Linked DNA regions of Canis lupus familiaris. The protein of the gene in region 1 purifies or fractionates together with the protein of each later gene. This does not show direct contact. Links are inferred from orthologs where the notes say so. Each region holds a gene or a part of one and is shown in the gene's direction. Other genes may lie near its edges.

Evidence for each region.
Region 2: the proteins of CMTR1 (region 1) and DHX15 purify together in Homo sapiens (co-immunoprecipitation; 3 studies listed by BioGRID and IntAct, with this or other methods). This does not show direct contact. The link is inferred for Canis lupus familiaris from reciprocal best matches to the Homo sapiens genes CMTR1 and DHX15.

Annotation. Positions count from the first base shown.
Region 1 is NC_049233.1:6,635,194-6,639,722, forward strand, and holds the start of CMTR1 (cap-specific mRNA (nucleoside-2'-O-)-methyltransferase 1), read left to right. Parts: upstream 1-1,618; 5' UTR 1,619-1,796; intron 1,797-3,723; 5' UTR 3,724-3,757; coding exon 3,758-3,905; intron 3,906-4,529. UniProt on the Homo sapiens protein: S-adenosyl-L-methionine-dependent methyltransferase that mediates mRNA cap1 2'-O-ribose methylation to the 5'-cap structure of mRNAs.
Region 2 is NC_049224.1:86,179,251-86,183,064, forward strand, and holds part of DHX15 (pre-mRNA-splicing factor ATP-dependent RNA helicase DHX15), read left to right. Parts: intron 1-1,262; coding exon 1,263-1,481; intron 1,482-3,814.

The DNA of each region.
Region 1 (4,529 bases):
TCCTTTGTAATTCTTAATTTCCTTTGTATTGTATTTTATGCCCTTCAAATTATATTTTGAGAGTGGGTCCATAAGCTTTACAAGATTACCAAAGGTGTCCAAGGCACACATATGTTAAGAATCCCTGGTGAGGTGGAAAAACACTTAGCTTTACAATCAAAGAGGCCTCGGTTTAAATGTCCATTTGCTGCTTCCTAGCTCTGTGACCTTGGGTACATCACTTAACCTTTATTCACCTTCCATACTTACACAGATTCAATAAATGTCTGTTGAGCACCTACTACCAGCTACTATATTAAATCCACAAGATTTAATGCAGACAGATGGGGATAACCTTTCCTGTACAAAGTTTACAACTGGATGGAGGAGGCAAGTGAGTCAAGGGGTCATTACACAACACTGTGATAAGTGCTTTGATAGCAGAAAGACAAAAAACTATGGGAACTTGGGGGTGGGATTCCCAACCCAGACTTGTGGAGTTAGGAAAGATTTCCAGATAAGGATGCTAAACATCTCAGGGATAAGTGGACATTAGCCAAGCAAAGGGTGAGAAGACTATCCAGGTAGGGGGTTGTACCCTTAAGAGACATGGGGATGGGGAGAAAGGGCCAATAACAGAAGGCACGACCGCAGATGGGGTCAGACTAAAGAGTTTTGTAGCCATCGTCAAGACATGAGTTTCAACCCAAGAGAAATGGGAGGTCGAGTCATTGACGGGTTTTAATCATTGATAGGTTACAAGATCAGAATACATTTTAAAAATTCTATACTACAAGCATCACCACTGGAGACAGGAAGAATGATTTGGAGATTATTGGAGGAATCCTGTTGAGAGGTGAGTGTATGGCTTGTGCCAATAGGGATGGAGAAGAATGTATGGATTTGGGAGACAATTAGGAGGTAAACTCAATGAAGTGTGTATCGGAGGCTCTGGGGAATGAGGGAGATAGGGCCATCCCAGATTTCTGGTTGGACCAACAGGATGAACGGTGGCACCGTTCACTGGAAAAAGAGCAGGTTTACAGAAGAACATAAAGTCAGATTTGAATTTATGGGTGTGAAGTGACTAAGGATGTGAAGCAGACTTCTGGCCATATTGGCCAGAGAAGCGGAAGGGGGGCTTGGGATGGGAAGCCATCTGTTTCCACACGGGAAGATGCCACAGGCAGCATTCCTTTTTTCCTCCTGACCTTCGTTCAGCAGCTGTTGAAGATGTACTATACGCGGGATGTTGGGGATACAGCGGTGGACCCGAAGACTGGGTTTCTGCCCCTAACCAGTTCGCCGTTTACCTCTCTCGACTTGTTCTTAATCTGCAAGATGAAAATAATAACGGGATCAAATGAAATGAGGTGACGTGACGACACCTGCTCTTCTGATTTCTACGTCTGTGGCTCGCCCCGCAGAGCGGGAAGCGAGGATACCTCGGGCACCGTGGCTTCGGGATCCTTCCCCTCAGGCTCTTCCGCGCAGGCGCCCCGGCCCGCCCCGGGTGGGGTGGGGGTGGGGTGGGGTGGGGGTGGGGCGGGCCCGAACCTGAGCCTTCTTCCCCGGGGCCAGGACCCGGCCGCGCGGAGGGTGCGGGCGGCCCGTGACGTCATCAAGCTGCGCAGCCCGCAGGGCGGGACCCGAGCGTGACAGCGCGGCCGGCGGACCCGGCTGGCTGGTGGGGAAACGAAACTGAGGGAGGAGGCGGCGGCTCTGGCAGCGGCAGGGCCAGGCCTGGTGGCGGCGGCGGCAACGGCGGCCTGACCCCCGCCTCTCCGCTCCCAGGCAGCTCACTCTCTCCCCTCAGCGTGAGTGCCGACGCGCGGCCCGGGGGGAGCGAGCGGGCGGGCGGGCGCGCGGGCTTAGCATCCTTCCCCCTCCACCGCCGCCTCGGCCGCGCACCGGCGGTGGTGACCCTCGCCGCCCCTCCCCCCGCTTCCTTCAGCCCTCCCCGCCCCCACCCGCCCTCCCGCTCCCGGCAGCCCGAGTCGCCGCCGACGAACGTCTGTGCGCACACATTCACACACTCACGTTGTTTTCAAATGAAAAGACTGGCTGGGAGAGCTGCGACCTCCTGTCGCTGCGTGGATAAGGGTGGCAGTGCCAAGCCGACACCTTGGGAGAGACGACTGGACAGGGGGTGTGAGCCCCTGCCTTGAGGGAGCAGCGGCTAGAAACAGGCCTCGGGGCTTCCCTGCCCCGAAGGGAAGTTCGCTGCCGGCGCACGTTCCTCTGGCCTGTGCGGGTCACTTGAGCGGGCCACTGGTTAAGGTGTGCGGCCTTCCCTCCTGCGCCTCAGGTTTTCCCACTGGAAAACGAGAGCGTTGGAGTAGATGATTTGGAAGGCCCCGATCTAAGGTGGCCTGGGGAGGAGCATCAGTATCTCCTGCCTTTCACACAACTCTTTACTCTCCCACCCCACCCCCTTTGTTTTTGCACCCACCCCAACGCAGTCCACATTGAGTTCCCCGTGCTTGCAGTCTCCCAGAGTCGCTAAGAATCAGATGGCCCTTTTTGCTTTTGTTAGGGACCTTTTTTTTTTTTTTTTTGGCGGGGGCGGCCTTTAAGACGATGGCTTAAAGTGAAACGTGGTCTTGCTTTCTCTTTGTTCAGCGTCCCCCGTTCTTCCTTCCCCAGGATAACCCCTGCCTGTGGCTAGTAAGAGAGACTGCCTCCTTAGAATAAGATCATGCATTGGGTTGACTGGCTCATCCTTGAGTTGTAGAGAAGCGAAACATGTAATTCAGGGTTTTGTGAGGTTGAGGGCATCAGCGGTGTCTTTGCCTTGCGTTGCTCTCTGGCTGCTGTGTCCATGTTAAAAGCCTGTTTTGTCACTCTGCACCTCCCCTTCCTCAAGGAATTGCAGCCCAGTTGGTCACCCACCTGTCTGCTCTTAACGTTTTGAGTTCTTTCTCTGAGTCTTCTTCTAGCCCATCAGTTGTATGTAAACCACACCCGATTCACTACTGCTCTCGCTTGCTCTTTAACTTGATCATTCCTTAAGGTTTCAAAATGTCACAATCACTTCATTCCATCTATTTTTTCCCCTCAATCTTACCTCTCATGTACCTACCCATGGGCATGGATAATGGTGACCTGGGACCTGATTGTTTCCATTCTTTTTTCATGGAGGTGTGTTGGTGTTCTTAAAATTATTTTCACACCAGAGTCCTATGATACGGCTACCTCTGGTTTCAATAACTTTCCCACTCTTCTGTTTCCTAAGTCAACCACTGCTTCCATTCCTTACCCTCATTGAAAACTCCCAATTCTTTCATGTTTTCAAACATCCTGAAATAAACCAAAACCAGTATTCGTATTATATTGTGTAACCTCTTAATTGTCTGGATAAAAATTATAATGGTGATGGAGCAGTCATTCTGAGATGGTCCCTTCACCTTGTAAATATTGGTTCATAATCATTAGGTTTCATAATTAATGTCCAGTATACACATGGCCAATGTTGCATGAAAAGTATAGAATAATAAGTACCCAAGACCTTTTACCCCTCTGTGGCTTGTGACTTTTTGATATCTGACATCAAGGCCCTGAGGCCTCTCAATTTGTGAGCTCCACACATTTTCCAGTAAAACGAACAGCTATTATTGAAGACTAGAGCTTGGCTAGCATCCTTCCTGGACCTCAGTTTGAGAAACTGGCACTGGAATCTGTTTGGAATTGCCAAATCCCATCCCTTTGATGATTTATATTTTGGAATCCCTACTCTGATCCTAGTGGCTCTGACAAGGGCAGCTGACGATCTGGATTTATGGTTGCAGTAACAATGAGGAGGAGAAATGATCCAGAATGCACTGCCCCTATCAAGAAACAGAAGAAAAGAGTTGCAGAGCTTGCCCTGAACCTGAGCTCTACGTCTGATGACGAACCTCCCTCTTCTGTCAATCATGGAGCAAAAGGTATGCTTGCCCATGTGATGTGAAGCCACTGGCCATCTGGTTATTTGAATCCCAGGTGCCTGAATTGGGCAGAACACGGTCAGCTACCCCTTGAGGGAAGTTGAGCAAGTTCTACAGAGAGATGTTGGCTCTAGCCTCTCTTCCCTTCTGCTAGTCTACTAAGAATGGGCAACTTGTTTTAGATAAAAAATTGGAATGTTAACAGTACTGTCTTAGTTCTGTGGCTAGTCTTGCAGTAGGTGGCACTCTTTTGCTGCCTTAAACCAGTTGGAAGTAGTGGTGAGCACTGAGTGCCCTGTGCTGTTAATTGCTGCTAATGATCCTGGGGCTCTTTCACAGGGGATGGGCTCTTGGCTGCATGAGCTGACCTAATTCCCCTCAGGTTTTTGCATTCTGTTTTCTCAATTCCCTCAGCTGTTGTGATCAGAAACACCCAAATGAGTTAGAGTATCCCTGTGTTCACTGTTGACACTAAGCTCAAAAGATTTCACTGATCTGGTTGAAACGAACATTTTACTCTGCCTGTTTTTTAGGGTTATGGACATACAATGTCCATAGATGCCTTTCTGTGAAAGAAATTGTAGAGTGCCTAGGAGCTTGCTTGCCTCAAATACCAAGCAATTA
Region 2 (3,814 bases), on another chromosome or scaffold:
TTTGAAACTCCTAGTCTCCTTCATTCATTTTGTCCATCCCTCCCTGGCAGCAACCAGTTTGTTTTTTGTATTTATGAGCCTGTTTCTGCTTTTTGTTTTTTAGATTTCATATATAAGTGAAATCAGGTATGAGCTATTAAGGTTTTTTGGAAAGAAACTCAAAGTAGAATTTACTCTGTAGTAGAATGTTTTATGAGGGAGCCTTCTTTTTAAGTAAATTTTTAATGGGTGCTATAATGTTTGAGTTACATGGAGAGAGGGTGACTGTACAGTCTTCATCGCTCTGTATTTGGAACAGCCTTTTGGTGACTGGCTTTTTACAACAGTGTAGAAAATCCCTGTTTAGCAATTTTTCTAAAGAAGTCATTCTTATTAAAGGTGATTTGGAAAAAGAGAAAATTTATATCTGTGCCACTGATGTTTTTCTTTTTTTCTATTTGCATTTCCTGCTCTTTCCTGTGTGTAAGGTTGTCCTGTTCTGTCTTAATAAACACAGTAGTAATTGTGCTATTTATTTATGTTGTCTTTTACCCTTCCCTTTTATATATTATATAAATCTTATGTAAACATAAATATGTTAAAACAGTTTATGAACTTTGGGCCTTCAGGTGTTATTTATTTCTTATTATATACTGTGTTCATTTCTAATTTTTTAAAAATGTCAGTAACTCTTTTATCATAGTTCAGCATTTCTGTATTTGATTTTTTTTTAAGATGTATTTATTTATTATTTTAGAGAAAGGGAGTGTGTGCAAGGCAAGGGACAGGGGAAAGGAGACCTTCAAGCAGACTCCCTGCTTAGCCCGAGGAGGAGATGAGGGACTTGCTCTTAGGATCTTGAGATCGTGATCTGAGCTAAAATCAAGAGTCGGATGCTTTTTAAAAATTACTATTTTTACTTTTGAAGATTTTATTTATTCATGAGAGACCCACAGAGAGAGGCCGAGACATAGGCAGAGGGAGAAGCAGACTTCCTGTGAGGAGCCTAATGTGGGACTCAATCCCAGGACCTTGGGATCACAACCTGAGCCAAAGGCAGATGCTCAACTACTGAGCCACCCAGGTGCCCCAAGAATTAGATGCTTATCTGAGTCACCCAGGTGCCCCTGCATTTGATTTTTTTAATCATTTTTGTAGGTTTTTTAATAATTGAGATATATATAGAACATAGACATTACTTGTCTTTTTTTCCTTAGGACCATGTAAGAATCCTTGAAGACTGCTTCAAATAATTAACTTTTGTGTTTTTTTGTTTCCCCCAGGTTATAGTTATGAGCGCTACATTAGATGCAGGGAAATTCCAGATTTACTTTGATAACTGTCCTCTCTTAACTATTCCTGGACGTACACATCCTGTTGAGATCTTTTATACTCCTGAACCAGAGAGAGATTATCTCGAAGCAGCCATTCGAACAGTGATCCAAATTCATATGTGTGAGGAGGAGGAAGGAGATCTTCTACTTTTCTTAACTGGTCAAGAGGTATTAATTGTCATTATTTGCTTAATTATTTAGCCTTTAGCATGTTAAATTATACAACAGCTTTTAAAATCTAAGAACATGGTATATATTAACCACGTATTTCTTATCCCAAGGTTTAAAGATTTTCCTCAACTTGACTGTATTTATGTATGAAGCATTATAACCCCTTTTTATATGTACTCTAAGAATACCCTTTTATACAATTGGTGTTTGTTAATTATCCTAAGAATGTTACGTGCTTTTAGAATTTCAAGATTTAGCAATTGCAGTTTTCAACTTTGGAGATACCTGAGTGGTAAGTGGTGGTGTGATAATTTGCAGCTTTGCTAAAGCATAAATTTGAACCACACAGCTGCAGTGAAATCATGTTGTCCTAGTCAGCTTGTGAGTGAAGTTGAGTGGCTTCAAATGTTTGTGTTTTGATTTTGTCTTCATGTGTTCACTGAAGATTAGAAGGAATCAGTGAAATTTCTTAGTTGGAATTTACCTCACTTTGACAGGTTTTATTCTCAGGTGTAGATTTTTTTTTTATTTTTTTGTGCTGCATTTTTTAAAACTTGTTTTCCACCGTAGGTTTATAGGTGTGCTATGAAATTCTCAAGCTAAAGTTCAGGAAAAAGCTATCTGGAGAAGACCATTTCAGAGAGCCTCTTACTGGAGGTTTTCTTAGAGCTTGTCCTCTGTTTCAGTAGGCTTTATGAACTTTCTAGAATGTATTTTTCTAACATACATGCAGTTCCACTTAGAAAATTTCCACTTACTGATTCTGATTCAGTAGGTCAGGTGTAGCCTGAGATTCTGTCTACCTAACAAGCTCCCAAGTAATGTTGAAGCTCTCCAGGGTTGAGTGGTGAGGTTTTGGGGTAGTGCTGTTCCATCAGACCTTTTGTTGGTGCTGAACATGTTCTGTCTGCCGTTCAGTATGTCACTCACCAGGAGTGTATGGCTTTTGAGGATTTGAAATGTGGCTGGTGAGAGGAGGGAATACATTTTAATTTTATAGCATTTTAATTTAAATAGCTACATGTGCCAACCTTCCTCCAGTTTCAGTTTTTGTATGGCCCACTAGTTAAGAATTGTTTTTACATTTTTAAGCAGTTGTAAATAAGAGCAAAGAATGTGCAACAGAGATGATGTGTGCATTCAAAGCCTAAATTGTTTTGGCCCTTTACAGTAAAAGGAAAAGGTCTGACCCCTGCCCCAGAACATTTTTCTCAAGTGTGATCATTGGACAGTCTACTTAGGAGAGAAGAGTAGAAGAGTTTGTTAAAAGCAAGTTCTTGGTCCTGTTCCAGACTTGCTGAGATAGGTGAAATCTGAGGCGAAAAAGGAATCTGCATCTTCAATGAGGTCTGTGGGCCATTTTTATATTTCCCTAGGTTTAAAGGTCATTGTCCCAGAGGAATGTTTAAACCAGTATAATTCCTGTAGTACATTAATGACACAACTGTAAACAGTGTTGTGGGGAATTGCTCTAATTCTCCCAGATACAAAAATCACAGGTCTTCTGTGACTGCCTACCTCCATTGGAATGTGAATTATTTTATTTGTATTCAATTTCTACAGGAATGCTTGATACACATAATATTCCAGCAAAGGCTGTTGTTTTAAGAGCTATAAATGTTGCGTCATTTCTTTGTCCTTGCATTTCTTCAGTATTTGTATGATCTATGATTTGTACCCCCATTGGCCACAATGCTTTTTCTGTAGAGCAGGTTTTTTCAACTTCACTATTTACATGGTTGGCCTATCAGTTTTTTTTGTTGTGGGGTAACCTGTGCATTGTGGCATCTTTGGTCTTTACCCATTACATGCGGTAACATTCTCTCCTCCAGTTGTAACAACCAAAAATGTCTGCAGAAACATTGTCACATGTCCCCTGGGTAGAAAATCATTCCCAGTACAAAATCATACTTGTTCTTTTGGGAAATAAAATGTGTTGCAAATTCACTTTTACAGATAAACCCTCTGTTGGTACCTGTCTTTATTTTTATGCATTTTGAATGGAAGAATTTTTATAAATTTTAGAAGCAAGAGTACCAAATGCTTTTTTGAGGGCATAAAAATGGTATTTATGCAATAATGCAGCCTTAGGCATTTGAGGTATTCATCTTGTCCTTTTGTGCCTGGTCTCTAGTTTCTTGATTCATATAGAGTGCTGTGTAGTGTATTTTCTTAAATGACTTTTTAAAATAGCCATTATGTTCAGATAACTAAGCATATTAGAATTTTATCAGAAATATCAGATGATCTCATGGTGAGAACCTGAAAGGCTTTCCTGTGATTTAACTTCTTGTATTTGGCAGCTATCCCATAGTTGGGGAAAGGAAGGG